2 linked regions of the Stegostoma tigrinum genome follow. The protein of the gene in region 1 binds, or shares a complex with, the protein of each later gene. Links are inferred from orthologs where the notes say so. Each region holds a gene or a part of one and is shown in the gene's direction. Other genes may lie near its edges.

Region 1 (10,571 bases):
GCGAACAAGGGAGTCACAGAGAAAGTGGTCTCTCCGGAAAGCAGACAAGGGTTGGGATGGAAAAATGTCTTGGGTGGGGGGGTCGGATTGTAGATGGCGGAAGTGTCGGTGGTCTTGGGTGGAACACCTCTGCTCGTTTCGCAATAAACAACTGCACCTCCCAGTCACGAACCATTTCCACTCCCCCTCCCATTCTTGAGATGACATGTCCATCATGGGCCTCCTGCAGTGCCACAATGATGCCACCCGAAGGTTGCAGGAACAGCAACTCATATTCCGCTTGGGAACCCTGCAGCCCAATGGTATCAATGTGGACTTCAACAGCTTCAGAATCTCCCCTTCCCCCATCGCATCCCAAAACCAGCCCAGTTCGTCCTCTCCCCCTCTGCATCACACAACCAGCCCAGCTCATCCCCTCCCCCAACTGCATCCCAAAACCAGCCCAGCCTGTCTCTGCCTCCCTAACCTGTTCTTCCTCTCACCCATCCCTTCCTCCCACCTCAAGCGCACCTCCATCTCCTACCTACTAACCTCATCCCACCTCCTTGACCTGTCCGTCTTCCCTGGACTGACCTATCCCCTCCCTGCCTCCCCACCTATGCTTTCCTCTCCACCTATCTGCTTTTCTCTCCATCTTCGGTCCGCCTCCCCCTCTCTCCCTATTTATTCCAGAACCCTCACCCCATCCCCCTCTCTGATGAAGGGCCTAGGCCCGAAACGTCAGCTTTTGTGCTCCTGAGATGCTGCTGGGCCTGCTGTGTTCATCCAGCCTCACATTTTATTATCTTGGATTCTCCAGCATCTGATTATCACTGATGCCATCCTTACCTTGTCTGGCCTACATGTGACTCCAGGCCAACAGTAATAAATACTGGCTTAGCCAGCGATGCCCTCATCCCATAAATAATGCCTCCAACCTCCCTGTTATCCTCAGTATCCCCAAGGGTCTGACTGTTGAACCTTGTACTCCCTTGTCTTGTTCATCTTCCCAAAAACCATCACTTCATACTTTCCAAGATTAAATTGCATTTGCCACTGATCCGCCCATCTACATTATTTCACTTTGCTTATTTCCTTTAGGAAATTCCTAAAAACAGATTTTCAGTCCTCCCACCAACCCCGATCACCTCCCCCCGCACCACCCCCCACCCCCAAACATCCCAGTATGTCTGAGAGGTCAAATTCGAGGTTGTGAGTTGCAATGGGTCAGTCTGAACCTCTACCAGGACAGCTCTGTGTCAGTGGATTAATTCCACATAACAACACTGGGGGAGCCAGCAAGCCCAATGTACTTTTATTGGCAAGCTCAAACCTGTTCAGGATGTTTGTGCGCGAACCTGGCATAGCTATAGGTTGGCAATTATAACTGAGCCACTACTGGAGGTTGGGGGTGGGGGGTTGGTAACAACCAGCAAGACATGTGGCTAAGCTGAAATGGTGCATGGCAGTTTCAAACCTGACTGTGCTCATGCTCCTGTCTACCTCCTGTAAAGGATAGTGACTCTGCCTCTCACGCTCCAGCAGCTAAACCACAAATGAGGAAGGAATAGGGGCTATTGAGTGAAAGAGTAGGAGAGTGCAGTTTTGAGCAGAGAGACTGTTGAGTGAGTCAATGAGATGGGGCTTAGTTGTGAGTGTGTGTACATTACATTGGAGAGAGGCTGATGCAATGCATCTGCAGGATTCACTGCGTATTCTATGCCTTGGAAAAACAGAGAGCTTGGTTGAAACATACATGAGATCATTGATTATTTACCAAATGCATTAGAGATTTTAATTTTCATAAAATGTACTACTGTTTTATAAGTTGATCCATAATGTATAAACCTAATTGTTACTGTGCTAACAAGGTGTAGAGCTGGATGAATACAGCAAGCAAAGCAGCACCAGAGGGGCAGGAAGGCTGACGGTTCGGGGTCTAGGCCCAAAACGTCAACCTTCCTGCTCCTCTGTTGCTGCTTGTCCTGCTGTGTTCATCCAGCTCTACACCTTGTTCTCTCAGATTCTCCAGATTCTGCAGTTCCTACTATCTCTGTTACTGTACTGCTTTGTTGCTATTTGATTTTGCAGACCACAGGTTTCTGGGATTAATTTGAGCTGCTGAGATGGTTCAGGTTGACGGAGTTACAATGGTGATGGTCGGTCTTTCCCTGAAAGTCATAAGCTCCTAGTACCAGACAAGCTCCTTAAGGCCTTTCATCCAAAGCACATCTTGGGGCTGGAAACTATGTAGAACTTCTTGCACTGTGCACCTGATACCAAAATGTACATTATTAATATCAAGAGAATTCAGATTGTAAGAAATGCCTCAGAGTGGAAAACACTGTGCAAAATTTAATTCAAATACACTTTCTGGAATTTTAAATTTAAAATTATTTGCCCTTGGGTTGCGTGCTTGTCTTGGAAGGTACATTGTAAATGCTAAGCGCTTAATAGTTGTAAATAGTTGGCAGTACAGAATTTAAACATTGCTAAAGGAGACTAAAAGTTGACACTCTCTTGCACTCATGGGAACTAGGGTGAAAGAAATAGACTTGAAAAAAAGGATATGATGTCTCTTTTGCCATAACTGTTATTTGAATCCTGTTTCTGATAAGTACAAGATGAAAAGTTTCTGATCTCCTTCTAGCAATGTTAAGAATAGATCAAGGTAAGTATAAGTCAAGCATGTTGCATAAAGCAAGTTAAAGTTTTATTGCACTTTCCATAATTTTAATGTTACAAAAATTTACTTTGTAAACGTTTTGTGAATAATTTTTGCAGAAAAAGACAGCTCTGGTCAAGTTCCAATCATGTGATCTGGGAGGACGGAAGTTTCTTTATAAACAACATTAACCCAGATGTGTTCTGCTTTCACAATCTCCTTAAGTTGCAGGCCTTTTACCTTCAGTAAGGTATTCATACTCGATGAAGTGATACTTATGAACGTAAGAACAAGATGTGGAGAACCAAAGGATTCAATAGATATTTATTACAGCATCTGGCATCTGCACGTTACAACCACAAACGCTTGTGTGTCTGGGAATAAAGCAACACAATTCAGATGTAAACTGCAGTACAATTCTCTCTGAGCATAATGCTGCAAGAAGACACAGTAAAATGGAGACCGAGAATTTTATACCATCAGGCCCATGCAATGATTTTATGAGAATGTATATTTTTGCAATATTGGAGAGTTGACGACTATGAGGAGCCAGAACGCAAGTAGAGTCAAGGCCTGGGACAGATTGGTCATGAATCCTTAAAGGGCTGAATGGCCCACTCCTGCTTCTATTTCTTCCATTCTGATGCTGTCTCTGTCTCTTGCATCCTTGTTTGGATGAGCGCAAGGTGAAAAGTTTCAATTCAGTGACCCTTCGGGCTCAAAACTTTCAATCTGTTTCTCTCGCCACAGTTGCTGCCAGACCTGCTGAGTTTCTCCAGAAGTTTCTGTCTTCGTTTGAGAATTCCAGCATCTGCAGATCTTTGTTTTATTCCCGTGTTGAAATTTACCTGATCGCCGGGCTCGAGTCTGGATTGACTTCAGGACGCTACCCTCGATCTGAGGCTATACAAATGCACATTGTTGTTTATTGTCCTGGGAGGGGGCTCTACGATGGCGTCACGAGGAGGCGGGCGCAATGGTGACATCGTGCGGGGGTGCGCTGACGTCATAGAATGACTTCAGTGCGTCGACGTTGTGAGAAGGCGGGGTCTGCGTACTGACGTTCGACGTAGCGCCGCGACGCAAGGCAGGCCCAGTCACGTCTTCCCCGAGGAGGGATGGAACGGCCCGCAGCTGGGGCCGTCTCGCAGGTGGTGCTGCCTGGGGATGTGCTTACCTTCCCTCCCAACTCCGGGGATAGGGTCTTGTGCGGGCCCGGCCTGAGGCGACAGGGCTGTGGGCAGTTGTCCGGACATGCTCTGGTGGCCTGCAAGTCCGGCGTGCTCCGGCACAAGGAGCCCTCCGTCTACTGGGTGGAGTCGCAGCAGAAACGGGTGAGGGAGGCGGGTCAGATCTCTTCCCCCACAACGCTCACTAATGAGGTGTCAGGCCTAGGATGGGTGTAATGGGCCCCGGTGTAGGGGATGCTGGAGGTCCCTGTGGATTGTGGGATCCTGGAGGAGTATGAGTCCGGTGCAGTGGAGGTCCAGGCGGTATGATGCTGTGGGCTGGGGACAGTAGGGGAAAGGGGATTACGTTTTTCCCGGGTGGGGGAGGGGTGTTGTGGAAGTCCTGAGGAGTATGGACGTTGGGGGCTGGAGGGGAGGGGGGTACAGTGGTCACAGGTGTGGAGGGACTGGGTACTGGAGTTTGTGGGGTGTGGGAACTGGTGGTGTGGTGCTGGAGGACGTGGTGGGGAGGGAGCAAAAACAAAAAGTGCTGTGAAAGCTCAGCGGGTCTGGCAGCATCTGTGCAGAGAAATCGGAGTTAACATTTCAACAGCGACAGTATCCGCATTTCTCTTAGTTTTTATGGTGTGGAGGGAGATGAACTGGGTCTAGGGATTGAGGAGGGAGCAGTGTAGTAAATACATCAGTGAGACTTGAGTTGCTCTTTAATGAATCATGGCACTTTTACAAACTAATGTGCTTAAGATGTATCACCCATTCCATGGTGTAGGAAGAGAAAATCAACTTCTTATCCTTTGAGCAGTGCTGGAAGTGCAATTAGGTGCATACTGATTGAAGTCCAAATTAAATTCAGCTATTTTATATTCCACCCTGAACCCATCTGTTTGTTTTCTGGTTAGTAAATTGTTTAAGACATGAAAATTCATTCTGATATACAAATCTCCACATCAAATTACTGAGAAATTTGTGCAAGTTAGGAGATGATGTTTGGTCACTTCCCAGATTTATATGTTGAAGTATGTGGGAAGTGCTACTGAAGTTTACAGAAACAGAAATTGCTTGAAAAACAAGGTCTGGCAGCATCTGTGAAGAGAAACTTTTAGTCTCCTTTAGCAATGTTTAATGTATCAGGTCCAGTAATCCTCCTGCAGAACTGAAGCTTTGCCAACTTATTTGCACAGAAGAACTATTTGAATAATTGAGATAACAAAGTATGGAGCTGGATGAACACAGCAGGCCAAGCAGCATCTTAGGAGCACAAAAGCTGACTTTTCATCTAGGCCTGAAACATCAGCTTTTGTGCTCCTAAGATGCTGCTTGGCCTGCTGCGAATATCCCGCACCACACTTTGTTATCTTGAATTCTCCAGCACCTGCAGTTTCCATTGTCTCTGATCATCATTATATTTGAATAATTGTTGTTTTCACTCAAATTCTTGGTAAATTTTTGATTTTATGATGCCTGATGTGGTTCAAAAGCTCCCTTGGGCAATGTGAATATATTTGCCTTAAATAGAATGTAAGAACCAAAAGAACTGTGGATGCTGTAAATCAGGAACAAAAACAAAGTTGCTGGAAAAGCTCAGCAGGTTTCTGAGGAAGGGTCACCGACCTGAAACGTTAACTCTGTTTTCTCCTCCACAGATGCTGCCAGACCTGCTGTGCTTTCCCAGCAACTTTGTTTTTGTTCTTTAAATAGAATGTGCCTGATACCCTGAGAACACTGAACAAATTGGTGATTTTAAGCAGAGATTTCCATTGTTGCCTATTTATTTGCTGCTTGGAGTGCGTTTAAGAAATTCAGCTGCATTTTTTTCCAGAATTTGTAACTATAACTCAGAATTTAATGCCGAGTAAATTACATCGGAGAAGAATTTAAAAGTGTCCTTTTGCATTTTTTCAGTATGTGCCAGCTAAAGGAGAATACGTGATAGGAATTGTGACTGTGAAGTCTGGTGATATATTCAAAGTTGATGTTGGAGGAAGTGAGCAAGCCTCGTTATCATATTTAGCATTTGAAGGAGCTACCAAGCGAAATCGACCAAATGTCCAAGTAAGAATTTTTTGTAAAGTTTTAGTCTTAAACTAATGCTTAAGATGCAGATTAGTTTAGTATTCTGTGTAATTGTGATAGCTCTATCAGAGGTGTTGATGGTTTGGCTTGATGCATGATCAAATTTCTAATCGTTTTAATCCTTCTAAGGCTGATGACCTACCAACTGCAACAAGGTGACCAGGATCATGACTATCACTAATTTTAGGAAAGTTTATGTTTTAGAATTTTTAACCAATTTTGGGTATACATAAATTTTACCAAATACAGATATACAATAGCAAAAAGGCCAAAATCTGGGCATCTGAATGCAGAGCCATAGATTTGACTTGTCTACACTAATCATTTCCCTGTTACAGGAGTTGGTGCAATCAAGATTCATCGTGTAATGTCTATATAGAAATATGACCAACTAATAATGGTACATTTTGTGCTAACAATTCAATTTTATACCTATTAATATATGCAGACCTTGTTGTTTCAAAAGTTAGTCCTCAGTTGGATAAACCCGTTATATCCTTGCCTCCTGAGAATTTCAGGTTTGTGGAATTTCTCAAGCTGTAATAGCTTTCTTGAAGTTGAAATTATTAATGTCCATAAGCAAGAGAAGTTTCGAATCTGAGAAGATGCTGCTTTTAAGCTGTCTTTCGCCATTAATTCGGACATTGATATCTGACATGCACAATCATGTTTATTGACCACAAAACCTTCGGTCACTGAAGAGTCAGTATCTATTGACATTAATTGCTTTTGGCCTCCTGGCAGTGAAGCAATGGCTACCACTCTCGTCCTTGCTGTGGGATCTTCAGAGCACCTCCTGAGGCCTGTGCTAGTCAGTCAGTGTTCTTGTGCTGAGGGACCCTATGCAACATTGAGTTAACTGGACAAACAGGTTATGATCTCTGGTTTTGCTGCTGAACTTGTGCAGTGACCGTTGCCTACACCATGAAGGACAATGTTTCCACCAAAACTTCCTTCAGACCTCGATGAATAGAATCAGGTTATGCATTTTAAAATTCTGGAGCGTGCACCCCCCCCCCCCATTCTGTATTGATTAGATAAAATTGGATTCTATCTCTCCCACTCCCCGCCCTGCTCCAAATTCCTTACCTCCTTGGTGGCCTATACACCCTTAATGTGTGACCTGCCCTATTATAACAACATTTGAGAGATTGCTTCTTCCATTCCCACATTTCTCTGGTGATACCTGAACCAATTTATAAATAGTGCAGAGATGCTCAGCATGAGCTGGGGTTTGCCTCCGCCTATTTGTACATAAATTCTATTGATCAATTTAAAGCACATCCCAAACTCAGTTTATTAACTCTCCCAGTTTAAGATGAAGGTATAGTGCAAAGGGAGGAAAAGGTAAATTGCTCTTAACTGTAAAAGCTCAGGCTGACAAAACAGCCCTAATATCTGATTGATTAAATGTGGGTAAGATTTCTTCAGGAAAATCTCACCTCTGAATATTGAAATGGGCAGTCAGCGGGTTTTAAAAGGGCTTCAACTTAGTCAAAGGATCACATCTGATGCTGATATCCCTTTGACCCTCTCTGGTCATTCTAGATTGTGGTGTGATTAGAGCGGGGCTACTGCAAATGCTATTCTGGTCCAACCAAAGTTGGGTTGCAATGCTGTAATCACTAATTATGACGGCAGCAACTATAGCATGCTGGATGTGAGTTTGCTCGCTGAGCTGGAAGGTTCGTTTTCAGACGTTTCGTCACCATTCTAGGTAACATCAGTTAAATAGAGCTCCCTTGGGCAATGTGAATATATTTGCCTTAAATAGAATGTAAGAACTAAAAGAACTGTGGATGCTGTAAATCAGGAACAAAAACAAAGTTGCTGGAAAAGCTCAGCAGGTTTCTGAGGAAGGGTCACCGACCTGAACCTCTATTTAACTTTCAGTGAGCCTCCGACGAAGCGCTGGTGTTATGTCCCGCTTTCTATTTATCTGTTTAGCTTTCCTTGGGTTGGTGATGTCATTTCCTGTTCTTTTTCTCAGGGGATGGTCGATTGATTTGGAGCCAGTGTGTTTGTTGATGGAGTTCCGGTTGGAATGCCATGCTTCTAGGAATTCTCGTGCAAGAATTCCTAGAAGCATGGCATTCCAACCGGAACTCCATCAACAAACACATTGATTTGGAGCCAATCTAACATCCCCTGAGAAAAAGAACAGGAAATGACATCACCAACCCAAGGAAAGCTAAACAGATAAATAGAAAGCGGGACATAACACCAGCGCTTCATCGGATGCTCACTGATGATGTTATCTAGAATGGTGACGAAACATCTGAAAACTAACCTTCCAGCTCAGCGAGCAAACTCACATCCAGAACCTCAACCCGAGCTACAAATCTTCTCAAAACTCACTATAGCGTGCTGCTTGCCCGACATTGTGCAGGTTTCTTCCTAATGGAGGCCATGCTACTTTGCGGTGCATCATGCATGTTTCCTAACTTCTATTTTACTTGTTCTCTTGTGTCAGCACATTACTGTGTTCCTCGGCTACCTCCAGTTTGTGCTGTCATCCTGCAAAGCACGCAAGGGCCTACCTTTGTGCAGATGCTGCAAAGGCTGCTCACTTATGTCAAATATCTAACTGCATTTGTTGCTGTAGTTGTTCACACTACATTTGTATCATATTGTCATCGCTGGAGCACAATGATGCTGCGTGCTTGAGTCCAAGCGCTTTATCTGCTTTCCAGCTCTTAGCCAGGACCACCACCTGGGTAAACAATACTATTTCCTTAAGATACTTTTAATTTCCCTCTATTTAGTCCTGTTTTATCTTCTCATGTCTCCAGCAATTTCTTTCGGTTAACTTTTCATGCCATTACTTGCACACTTAGGGGATACTCTGGATAATTTCATCTTTCTCCCTCTAAAGATCATCTTTTGTAGGAAATATCACGAGCTGTGTAACAACATTCCCACAATACATGAGTCTTACTCAAATACATCTGGTTTACAATTGGTCATCCTTGATGAATGTCCATTTGTTGGATCATGAAATTTAATTTTAATCATGAGACTTGGGGTGCAAGTAGTTGCAGGATGGGTTCATTCCAGGTACAAGTGTGTTTAGATACAGTACACTAATGTTATTAAAACAAGTACAACAGAAGTGACCCTTAACCAGGCATTGGACAATGGAATACTGATCCTTGGTTAGAGGGCATGCGATTATTCCTCTCTCCACACCAACTATTAAAGTAGGCCTTATTAACTTGTTCTAAACCACAGCATTGCATGTTCAGAGATGCCGCAACTCTGAAGGCATAGTGATCAAATTCTTAACAGGTTTAGTGATGCATCCATAGTTGACAGTCCATTTGATAAGTAGTGAATGCTCAATTTGTTTCCTTTCTTCAAAGGAATAATTATCACTTCCACTATTTACTGATTAGAAAATATCTAAAATACCAATCAACTTGTTCAAAAATGTTATTACACGTTTGAAGTAAGGGGACCTGAGCCCAGGCCCCTCGGCTCAGAAATAGGAGCATTATCAATTCATTCAAAAACCCTAAACATTTTTTGTGTCCATGGACAACCACATTGACATGCTTCTGAATGCGGATTGAGTGGAGATATTGCCCTTGGATGGTTCAAACCACCAACCTATTGATAGTGAAATACGCTGACCAGTTGTGCTGCAGAGGCTGATCTGATTGGTCTTTTAGCTTGTGATTTATAAGCAGGGTAATCCTAGCTTGTATAGTTTTACCTGCCATCTTGTCAAATTTTGCAGCTTACCATTAAACATCTTATGCCATCTTTGCCCATGTATTTAGGATAGGGAACTGTAAGCTACTGTATCCTAGTGATTGATTCTGTGAGCTCATTGTCTCAGTTTTTGCTTAAGTGGGAGAGTTCTTCATCAAACTCCTTTATTAGTGAATGCTTGTTTTAGAGGTCAACTGCTAGGTGATGGTTTTCTGTGGTCATGGTCACCAAGAATGAGTGTCTTAATTTTTAAGATGGATGTAGTAGAAAAATTGCATGTAATCTTGAATCTATACCTCGAATTAAACAAAATGTTCCAAAGTTCTAATACCAACAAACTTAAAAGTAGAGGTGCATAATGAACAGCACATAGTGAGGTGGTCAGACATCCTTATACATTGAGTCCCTATGTAGTCTTAAGTAATTGAATTCAAAAGGTCACAAACTTAAACGTTGTTACAAAGTTTATGTTTAGTCAAATTGTCTTTTCTAAACAAAGCTAATGTAGAACAGCTGCTGTACTTTCTTTTTTCCTCACTTCTGCAGTAGATCTCTTCTAGCCTTCCTTTGTTGACTAGGGCCTTCTGATCAGTGTTGATTTGGGAGAATGTGAGCCTGTTCAACCTCAAAGATTGAAAGTTCTTGCGTCGTAGCTGTGTGAAATTTTGTTTTCTTACTTTGTCAAGTGAAGCTAAGTGAAGTCACATGGTATGATTTGAAAGTCTGTTTTGGTTACAGTTAGGTAGAATTATATATTGTTACATTAATTGAAAATACTTTGACTAGACTAAACTGAACTCATTGTGAAATAGCAATCTCTTTACTATTCCTACAATGTCATGTTCTGCTTCAAATTTTAAATACTGTCAAACGGTGAGGGGGGTGGACTATATACCATTTGCGAGGGAGTATTAACAATTGATACAAAGAAGCCACAATGTAAGAACTCG
Region 2 (10,450 bases), on another chromosome or scaffold:
TTCTCATTATATTCCATCTGAAAAATTTTTTGCCCACTCACTTAATCTGTCTATATTTTCTGTAAACTCATGTATTATCCTCAGTATTTGCTTTCCCATCTATTTTTGTCGTCTGCAAACTTGGGTAATAGTACATTCTATTCTGTCATCCAAGTCATTAAAATATAATTGTAAATAATTGTGGCCCCAGCAGTGAAACCTTTGGCAGTCCACTAGTTACAAGTTAACATCTCAAAATTGTCCCCTTAATTACAGCTGTTTGTCTTCTGTGAGTTAGCCAGTCATGTATCAATGCTATTACACTACCCACAACCCCATGAGCCCTGATCAAGCAGCTCTGTGTGACGCTCATTATTGAGTGCCTTTTGGAAACCTAAACATATTACATTTACTGGTTCCCCTTTAACTACCCTACTTGTTAACCTCTTCACAGAATTCTAATAGAGTTGCCAGCAGTTGCCCTGCTGACTCTACTTGATAGATTCTAACATTTTCCTGGTTAGAGACACTATTCTAACTTTCTTAAAGTTACTTTTTTCTCATCTCCCTTTTTAAACAATGGTGTCACTTTCCAATCCTCTGGGACTTTTCCAGAATAAAGATTGTTATTAGATTACTACCAAGGCATCTACTATCTCTGATTACTTCCCTCACATCTTAAGGTACAACCCAAAGGATTTATTGGCTTCCATCACATTGTTTTCCCTAGTAGTTTATTTTTCTCTTTTTTTATTCTTCTTTTATTCTTCCCTCAGCCTTTGAACGTTTAATAATTGAGGACGTCAGTGTTAAGAAGAGAAACGCAGAGAGGTTTAGGGCAAGCATTGCAATGTTACAGCAGATGAAGGCATGACTGCCAGTGATGGAAGTGACCAACGATAGGGAGGCCAGGACTGGAGGAATGAGATGAACTTGGCTCAGTGTCTGGGTGTTTGAGAGCAACGATTCATTGTTTGACAATATTGTTAATCTCCACTTGAAGGCTGTGGCAGTAATGATTCTGTGCCCCTTGATACTTCATCGCAGGAGTTACTCCTCATCCTTCAGTGAGTTTCAGTAGACTGATCCACCATGAGGTTTGTAACATTCAAGCCCAGTCTGGTCATCATCTGCCCTGCACCCGTTCTCTGTACGTGACCCAACAGGGACCAATGATCAGCCGTCAAAGACAGAGTTTAACCTTTGTTGATCATAAGGAGCTGATTTCAGTTGTTGCATCCCAGCTACGTGTTTCCTGAGACCCTGGTAATATAGGACTTAGGAATTGGTGTAGGCCTTTCAGTCTTGCTGTGCCATTCACTGGCTGTTATGACATCTGCAGCATATCAGGTATTGAACCTGTGATGTATAAGTCTCAGTCCCTCACTGTGCCACTTTTACAGTCAGGCCAGTGGGGGAGGCATCGCCTCAAAGTCCGAACATTGTACGTTGTGGAAAGCCCATCTTAAAAGCAGCAGGGTTACTGAATTTTCATTTTGCACTATTTCTCCCTTTTTCATTACAAACCTTTTTCAGGAGGTGGTGAGCAGGGGCCTGAAAGCCAGTGACTGGGTCAACCATATCTTGGACCTGCTGGACGGAAGAGGAGGAGGAAAGGACGTGTCAGCCCAGGCCACTGGGAAAAACGTCAACAGCCTTGACAAGGCGCTAAAGCTGGCAACCGAGTTCGCTGAGCTGAAAATAGGAGACCTCAAAAACTAATCACAAACGTTGCAGTTAATGTCACTTGAAAGACCGTCCATGGGGCCGGGACTCTTCTGCTGCAGGGGTTTAGGACCACTACTGCTGAGAGGTGGTGAGGGAGGGGGTTGTCACATTCTCCTCCATGTTAATGTTAAAAGCGTGAACTTCTGTCTCACTAAGTCAGTAGAACAGCTTAGCAATCGATCATCTCTAAAATCTTCAAACTGTTGCAATAAGGGACTGGCTGTAAGAAAATCTGTTAGCCTATTTAAAACGGCTCTAATTCATTAAAAGGATTTGCACCCGTAAGCTTAAAATAATACTGGTGTTGTACTGGTTACAGATTTGGAGTATGCTATTTATTTTCAGATTCAGATCAATTGTCTCTTGTTCGCTGCCTCATGATGATGCTGTCATTACCTAGTCATATGTAACCATTGTTCAAGACAGTGTAAACAATAAAACCTCTTCATTACGTGAACGAGACATTGCAATCATGTTTTTGACTCTTGGACTTCTGTAATCTCCTTAGCTGTCGATTGATTCACATCCTGGTGAAACACAACCAATTCCCATTATCTCTGATCACCAATTAGAAGTTGATTTATTCAACGTTATGTGTGAACATAAATACGAACACTTATTGTAAATCCCACCCATTTTCAACTTTAGTCACTAACTCTCCTTCAAATATAAAAAAACCCCAAAGATTCACACTGTCCCTGTTGGAAGTTGATTTTCACTTCATTGATGAGTTCTTCCTTCAAACCTGGTCAGACTGGTCTACAGGGGTCTAACCACTATAAAATCAGAATAATGGAAATATGCAGCAGTTTACAAAACACGTGGAGAGAGAAACTATTAATGTTTCACATCACACACAGCAGATGATCATCATTCCTTTGACTTTCTACTTGATTTGCTCAGTACTTGCAGCATTTTTTGTGTTATTTTCAGATTTACTTCTGCAGAAATGATTTCTGTTGTCTAACATTGAAGTCATACATAAGTGGTACCATTTTATGAACTATTTTGTCTTACACATCTCCCAGTATTTCCGTCCAGTGGATTTAACCCCAAGCAAGCAAAACGTGACAGTAGCGTTTTAATATAAACGATTCCAGTGGTTCATTAGACAAAGTTTTGAATTCCAACACATGATAGTCATTCAGTTAATATCCAGTTCACTCTTTACTGTTTCTAACTGTTCCAATGTTCTGTCATTGCTATGACCAGCAACACAGCAGTGGCAACACTCTGATGTTGTGGGTCATGTTGGAACCAATAATGTAGACAAAAGTTGAGGTCCTATCAAAGATATCCTGGAGTTAGGAGATTAAAGAATAAGACCTCAATAGTGGTAATCTGTATTACATTTAGTAGAACAGAGAGGTGAGACAGGCTAACTTGTGGATGGTGAAATTGGGCTGGAGGGCAAGGCTTCAGAATTTGAGGTGTTGGGGCCACAGGACAGTCAACCTTGATTCTGATGTTTCACCCAATATTGGATATAATAGTAAATGGAGAGGAGGGTTACTGAAACCTTCAGGATGCCACAGACCGGTGAAATAAACAAGACACTGGGAAGATGAAATTTTAATGCTCCCAGTGTGAGCCTGAGCAGACAACTCTTTGAAGTGGACAGGAATATTCCAAAAACCTGCTTTTGAAAAAAAATACATAAAATCTTGGTGGTGTCCTTTGGTGCTTCACAAATTGATGGAGGACTCCCCAAGAACAGATGGTAAGCTTATCCCTGCTGGTTCTAGACATTTTGCGATAGGAAATAATTTTTCTGCATGTATTTATATTAACAAGTTGTCCCTCAGTAGCTTCATCTTTTAATTAGACAACGGGAGGAAATTCTCTGAATGGGAGGCAAAGGTGGGAAGCAATTGCCGATGTTGGTTTGAGTAAATCCAGGGAATTATTTGTGGATAAGAACAGGAATTTGATTTCCAGATATTGGGGTACGAGGAACAAATTGTTGAGGATTTATGATGAGAAAGTTGGAACAGAAACGGACAATGTTGTGGATGTGAAATCAAGGACCTTGTTATCGAAGGGGATTGAAGCTCAACTCTAGATCAAGAACAATGCTGAAATTATTCTCAAACTGGAGGCGATAAATGGAATCCGTGGCAAATGTTACTTAACGTTCAGCAAGAACTAAAAGAGGACATCACTCTTCCAACGTTGGGAAAAATTCCTGAGTTGTACATGACCTTAGATTGGCAGGCCATTTGACAGCACCAAGGTGGTGGAAAAGAGAGAATCTTGGACCCTCTTCCTCCTCATCACTCATACTCGAGGATGATGCCAATAAAAAATTACATGTAAATGAAGAAAGGGTGCATCCCAAAGGAGACACCATTGTATACAGTACAGGTTAAAGGTAAAGTTGCCATAGTCCTACCAGGCCATAGGATTGCTCAATTGTTGGTGTTTTAAGCTTGAGGGTCACCATGCCTGAGGTGTGTAGAATGGTTGAGAAGGGGTCCTTTGTTGTAACCTCAACCAGCATAGGATTGAATCCACACTGTTGGTATCGCTCTATCACAAACCAGCCGTCGAGCCCAAGTGAGATTAGTAACCAGATAACTACAGGGTCGCACAGTGGTTAGCATTTCTGGCTCACAGCAGCAGAGCCATCGGTTCGATTCCAGCCTTGGGTGACTGCCTGTATGCACTTTGCGTGTTCTCCCTATGTCCCCATGTTTAATAACCAGCTAATCTTTTTCAGCGATTCATATTGACCGGGACTTTGGGCAACATGCCCCGACTCTTGCTTCTGCGTTTCCTACTGCCACCTTAAAGAACAAATAGCTCTGAAGGGCCAGTGTTAAATTGCGTTCAAATCTCAGGATTACAGCTTGGTACATGTGGCAATAATAAATCAAATTACTCCCCTAGCAAGGCTCTGCTTGTCACACACTGCTGCATTGGTTTTTTCCCCCCTGGTGGTGGAATATTGATAAATTTGGCTACAGAACCCATGTTTTTCGATGCGACCTGCACGCACAGACGACTCAAACCAAATCATTGCAATCTGGAAGAGAACTTGCACACTTTGCTGAAAGCCGGTAGGGGGTGGTATGGAGCATGAGGGCCTGCGGATGGTCCTCCCGGACTGCAGGGGGCGGTGTTGGGGGAGGGCAGTAGGTGGGAGCATCTTACGACGGGCGCTGCCTCGTTGTGCGCGGCCTGGTCGAGGCTCCGGAGCTTGGAGCGAGTCGGTACCAGATGCCGGTCGACACCAAGCGAGTCCGGGGCCCGGAGGAGTCGCAGTCGCCGCTGCTGTTTGTGGCGGGAGATGCGGCTCCGAGCACGGTGCCGGGGCGGGCCCGGGTTCGGGCTGATGGGCGGTCGGCGGCTGAGCCGAGGCCGGTGTTTGCTCGGGCCGGCCTGGTGAGTCAGGCGGACGGCTCGGTGTACGTCGAGTGCGGCCTCACCAAGGTGCTGTGCGCCGTTTACGGGCCCCGGGAGAGCGACAGGAAGGAGGAGCGGCGCCTGAGCGGGGCGACCCTGGGCTGCGAGTTCAGGTAGGGGCCGGGGCCGGGGGCGGGAAGGGTCTTAAAGCACCAACACCAACCCCCCGTGAAACCAAGGGCAAGCGGAGATGATGTAGAGACCCCTGGTGCTCGGAGTAAAGTCTCCTGTGATTTTGGAAAGGTGGGCGTGTAGGTTATCAGTGTGTGTCAGGTCAGCTCTGACTGGGGAGAGGGGAGGGTTCCCAGTCCTATCCCTGGCTGCTGGATTTAGTGAAGTGAATTGTGGAAACACAGGCTGATCCTGTGACTTGAAGCTGGAAGGATGGTGGGGAAATGTGTTGATCGTCAACAGAAGAAGCACAGCGCATTCCAGATCACAGCAGCTCACAAATAATGAACCTGGTCCTCAACCCAGCTCCGATTCCTGGTGGAGCTGCTGGCGTTGGGCTGGAGTGAACAAAGGTGGAATGGCAATGTAGACAGTGGGTGCCTACCTCCGCTCAGCTCGCAACAAACAACTGCACCTCCCAGTTGCAAACCATTTCCACTCCCCCTCCCATTCTTTAGATGACATGTCCATCATGGGCCTCCTGCACTGCCACACTGATGCCACCCGAAGGTTGCAGGAACAGCAACTCATATTCCGCCTGGGAACCCTGCAGCCCAATGGTATCAATGTGGACTTCACCAGCTTCAAAATCTCCCCTTCCCCTACTGCATCCCTAAACCAACCCAGTTCGTCCCCTCCCCCCACTGCACCACACAACCAGCCCAGCTCTTCCCCCCCACCCACTGCATCCCAAAACCAGTCCAACCTGTCTCTGCCTCCCAAACCGGTTCTTCCTCTCACCCATCCCTTCCTCCCACCCCAAGCCGCACCCGCAGCTACCTACTAACCTCATCCCACCTCCTTGACCTGTCCGTCTTCCCTGGACTGACCTATCCCCTCCCTACCTCCCCACCTACACTCTCTCCACCTATCTTCTTTACTCTCCATCTTCGGTCCGCCTCCCCCTCTCTCCCTATTTATTCCAGTTCCCTCTCTCCATCCCCCTCTCTGATGAAGGGTCTAGGCCCGAAACGTCAGCTTTTGTGCTCCTGAGATGCTGCTTGGCCTGCTGTGTTCATCCAGCCTCACATTTTATTATCTTGGAATTCTCCAGCATCTGCAGTTCCCATTATCCCTAGACAGTGGGTGTCACTGGCAAGGTAAGAATTAGTTGCCCATCCCTAATTGCTCGTAAAACGGTGGATTGCCTGACCATTCAGAGGGCAGTTAAGAATTGGCCACACTTTTGTAGTCTGGATAGCCTCAATTTTAATTTATTAACATTCCATTCCCTGTGATCCTTGGTTTGTAGCTGATACTCCAACCTGAGCCATTTACTTGGCAGTTTTTGTCACTCTTTGCTGCTGACTTTCATTCTCAGGTTTAGGACGACAAAGTCAATCCCAAACCTACCTCAGATGGAACAGAAATTGAACCTGCGCTGTTGGACATTTCTCTGAACCACCTCACCGACATTTAACCAACTGTGCTAACCTATTCCTCTTTTGAAATATCACGTGAATGAATTCATAGGATTGTTTTTCTTCCCTACCACGCCCCCCCCCCCCACCCTTGTAGATTTGCCCCATTCTCTTGCAGGAAGAGAGCTGCCTGGATTCAGGGCACCTTGGAGAAGGAGTATTCTTTGATCATGGAACAGAGCTTGCAGCCAGCTATCTGCCTCCACAAGTACCCCAGGTCCCAGATCGAAGTGTACGTGATGGTTCTGGAGAATGATGGCTCCACCTTAGCAGCTGCGCTGACTTGTGCTTCCATAGCACTGGCAGAAGCAGGCATCGAGATGTTTGACGTGGTGGTGGGCTGCTCTTTGAGGCAGTGTGGAGCTGTCTCCCTTCTGGATCCAACAGCAGCTGAGGAGTACAGTGCAGCCTGCTCGCAGGCCGTAAACAATGGCAGCTTGACTGTGGCTCTGCTGCCCACACTCAATCAAATCTCCGGGCTGGTCTCGAAAGGAGAGTGGGAGGAGCAGACATCAGTAGAAGCAATCAAGGCTTGTATTGAGGGATGTCAGAAGCTCTACTCTGTAGTCCAACAGTGTCTGACCAAATCAGTCAAGAGGAAAATCCCACAGCTTGTCAGTAAAGATTAGATGAACTTTTGTTCTTGGACATTCCAGTAAATGCTTTCTTGAAAAATAAATGTTTTTTTACTGTTCCATTTACTACATTTTATACAAGTTGCAGAATATCCTTTGTTAACATTTAACTAAAATTGAACCACCACACGGTATTGGATTGAAGTGTGAGGTTCAGCTCTGTCTATGCTGAGTTGCCTGATCTGTGGTGCTGCTGAAGTTCAGCTTCAGTGCAGGAAGGTATAATTGGGCCAGGGTTCCTGGAGCTGATTGTCCAGTCTCTCCTGTTGGATGTGTGGGACGCTGGGCCTCAATTCCCTGCTGTCTGGTCTTGAGCAGTCTGGGTGGAGTTGTGCTGCAGTAAAACTTGATCTCTGGGTGAAGTAGAGAGAATAAATGCAATTCAAGCTAAAGTGGTATGGGACTTTGCCCTCGCTGCTTATTTTTTGCCCTGCCACAGTATTTATTTCAGTACTTCCTCACTGAGCAGATTTCAACTCTGAGGGCCTAAGGATTACACAGTGCAGTCTGTCTGGGATCAATCAAGTATTTATCCTTTCCAGACCTTGTGAGTTATTAAAACAAGCAGTTTATTTGGTTTATACATATCTTCTCCAACTGATACAAACACAACATTGGAGGATCTCAACTGGTCTAGCAGCATCTGTGGAGAGAGAGAAGCAGAGTTTAATTTTGAGTTTGGTATGATCTCCTTCATACTCCATGTTCTCCAATTGGTCCCATGTAGACCTCTTTCTTCTATTGTGGGTAGCGACAAGGCACTCGGTACAGAGAATTTACATTAAGTGTCGTCTGAGGCTTTTGCTTCGAATTAGATCCCAGCCTGATAAAGCGGCTGTAAGGCCATTGTGTTAAATGAGCTTGGGGATAGTCTCAAATTGGTGGTCAGTGGCTATCAGCCTTCAAGAGAAAACTGCCCAATATTTGAGTTCTGCTGGGTGATACACTGCTGTGATGAATACGTCACCCAACTGCGGAAGCACAGTACAAGGCAGATTAACGGGCTCAACTCTTTGTTCCTCTCCCAACTTTGTAATGTGCTAGACCTGGACACTCTTGGTTATGAGAGTTCAGGGTGGGAAATTTCCATCCAGTCTATTCATTCACTAATTTGTCTGTTTACTATATTTTTTTAACAAATAAAATCAAAGTTCTTGACCATTCTGTCATTTTTCTACACATGCTGAGTTGTAATTTGGAAGAAATGTCTCACTGACTTTAAGTGCTGATTGACATTGTGCAGCATCAGGCAGAATCCTGGGGAATCAAAGTTTGCTCAACGCTCCTGGGGTAAATAATAAAATGATGTGTTTTTTTATTGTTGCCATTAGGATCCCTTGTAACATCAGCTAGTTGTACATACTTACATTCCAAACAGCCGAAAAAGATTCCTTTATACCCGCTCTCTGCCTTCTGCTAGTCAGCCGATCCTCTATCCACGCCAGTACCTTGCCCCTAACACCCTGGGCTCTTATCTTAAATTGCAGCCTCTTGCACAATACGTTGTCAAAGGCCTTCAGGAAACTCAAATCGATCACATCCAAAGATACACTGCTGTGATGAATACGTCCTTTGTTGAGCTTGATCATCGTTGCATCAAAGAATTCTGACAGATTTGTGATCTCCCCTTGACCAAGGCATGCTGACGCTGCCGTATTTTATCTGCTGTTTCAAGTACCCTGCAATCTCATCCTTAATAACGGATTGTAAAATCTTACCAATGACAGAGGTCTGGATAATCGGCCTGATAAATAATTTATTTAAACAAGTGTATTCCCTCTTGTTGTTCCCTCATCATCTGCTGCACAGCCAGTCAAACCATTTTGCCAGTTTGTGATGGGCTTTGAATTGCTCCACCCAGAGTATATTCTGTCCCCTTACCCCTCAAAGTGGCATTCGACATGGAGGAACACTGATTCATCAGCCACATGATGGTGATGGCCTAGTGGTATTATCACTGGACTGTTAATCCAGAGACCCAGATAATGTTCTTGGAACCTGGGTTTGAATCCCGCCACAGCAAATTCAATAAATATCTGGAATTAAGAGTCTAATGATGACCATGAATCAATTATCAATTGTTGGAAAAACCCATCAGGTTCACTAATGTCTTTTAGGGAAGGAAACGGTTATCCTTACCTAGATAACAAAGTATCGAGCTGGATGAACACAACAGGCCAAGCAGCTTCAGAGGAGCCGGAAAGCTGATGCTCTGGGCCTCTCAACCTTCTTCTCTCCAATGAAAACAGCCTCAAGTCCCTCGGCCTTTCCTCGTAAGATCTTCCCTCCATACCAGGCAACATCCTAGTAAATCTCCTCTGCACCCTTTCCAAAGCTTCCACATCCTTCTTATAATGCGGTGACCAGAACTGTACGCAATACTCCAAGTGCAGCCGCACCAGAGTTTTGTACAGTTGCAGCAGAACCTCTTGGTTCCAGAACTCGATCCCTCTATTAATAAAAGCTAAATCTGTATGCCTTCTTAACAGCCCTGTCAACCTGGGTGGCAACTTTCAAGGATAGCGAGTTTTGAGAAGATTTGTAGCTCAGGTTGAGATTCTGGATGTGAGTTTGCTTGCTGAGCTGGAAGGTTAGTTTTCAGACGTTTCGTCACCATTCTAGGTAACATCATCAGTGAGCCTCCGACGAAGCGCTGGTGTTATGTCCCGCTTTCTATTTATCTGTTTAGGTTTCCTTGGGTTGGTGATGTCATTTCCTGCATTGGTGATGTCATTTCCTGTTCTTTTTCTCAGGGGATGGTAGATGGGCTCCAAATCAATGTGTTTGTTGATGGAGTTCTGGTTGGAATGCCATGCTTCTAGGAATTCTCGTGCGTGTCCCTGTTTGGCTTGTCCTAGGATGGATGTGTTGTCCCAATCAAAGTGGTGTCCTTCCTCATCTGTATGTAAGGATACGAGTGATAGTGGGTCATGTTGTTTTGTGCCTAGTTGATGTTCATGTATCCTGGTGGCTAGCTTTCTGCCAGTTTGTCCAATGTAGTGTTTGTCACAGTTCTTTTGTAGATGACGTTTGTTTTGCTTGTTGTCTGTATAGGGTCTTTTAAGTTCATTAGCTGGTGTTTTAGTGTGTTGGTGGGTTGGTGGGCTACCC

Evidence for each region.
Region 2: exosome complex component RRP40-like (region 1) and exosc6 share a complex: the UniProt entries of both Homo sapiens proteins name them as parts of the RNA exosome core complex. The link is inferred for Stegostoma tigrinum from reciprocal best matches to the Homo sapiens genes EXOSC3 and EXOSC6.

Annotation. Positions count from the first base shown.
Region 1 is NC_081354.1:15,913,044-15,923,614, reverse strand, and holds the start of exosome complex component RRP40-like, read left to right. Parts: upstream 1-3,700; 5' UTR 3,701-3,762; coding exon 3,763-3,978; intron 3,979-5,736; coding exon 5,737-5,886; intron 5,887-10,571. UniProt on the Homo sapiens protein: Non-catalytic component of the RNA exosome complex which has 3'->5' exoribonuclease activity and participates in a multitude of cellular RNA processing and degradation events.
Region 2 is NC_081369.1:4,851,983-4,862,432, reverse strand, and holds exosc6 (exosome complex component MTR3), read left to right. Parts: upstream 1-4,855; 5' UTR 4,856-4,926; coding exon 4,927-5,225; intron 5,226-6,801; coding exon 6,802-7,333; 3' UTR 7,334-8,500; downstream 8,501-10,450. Other genes in the region: aars1 (alanine--tRNA ligase, cytoplasmic), read left to right, coding at 1,516-1,701. UniProt on the Homo sapiens protein: Non-catalytic component of the RNA exosome complex which has 3'->5' exoribonuclease activity and participates in a multitude of cellular RNA processing and degradation events.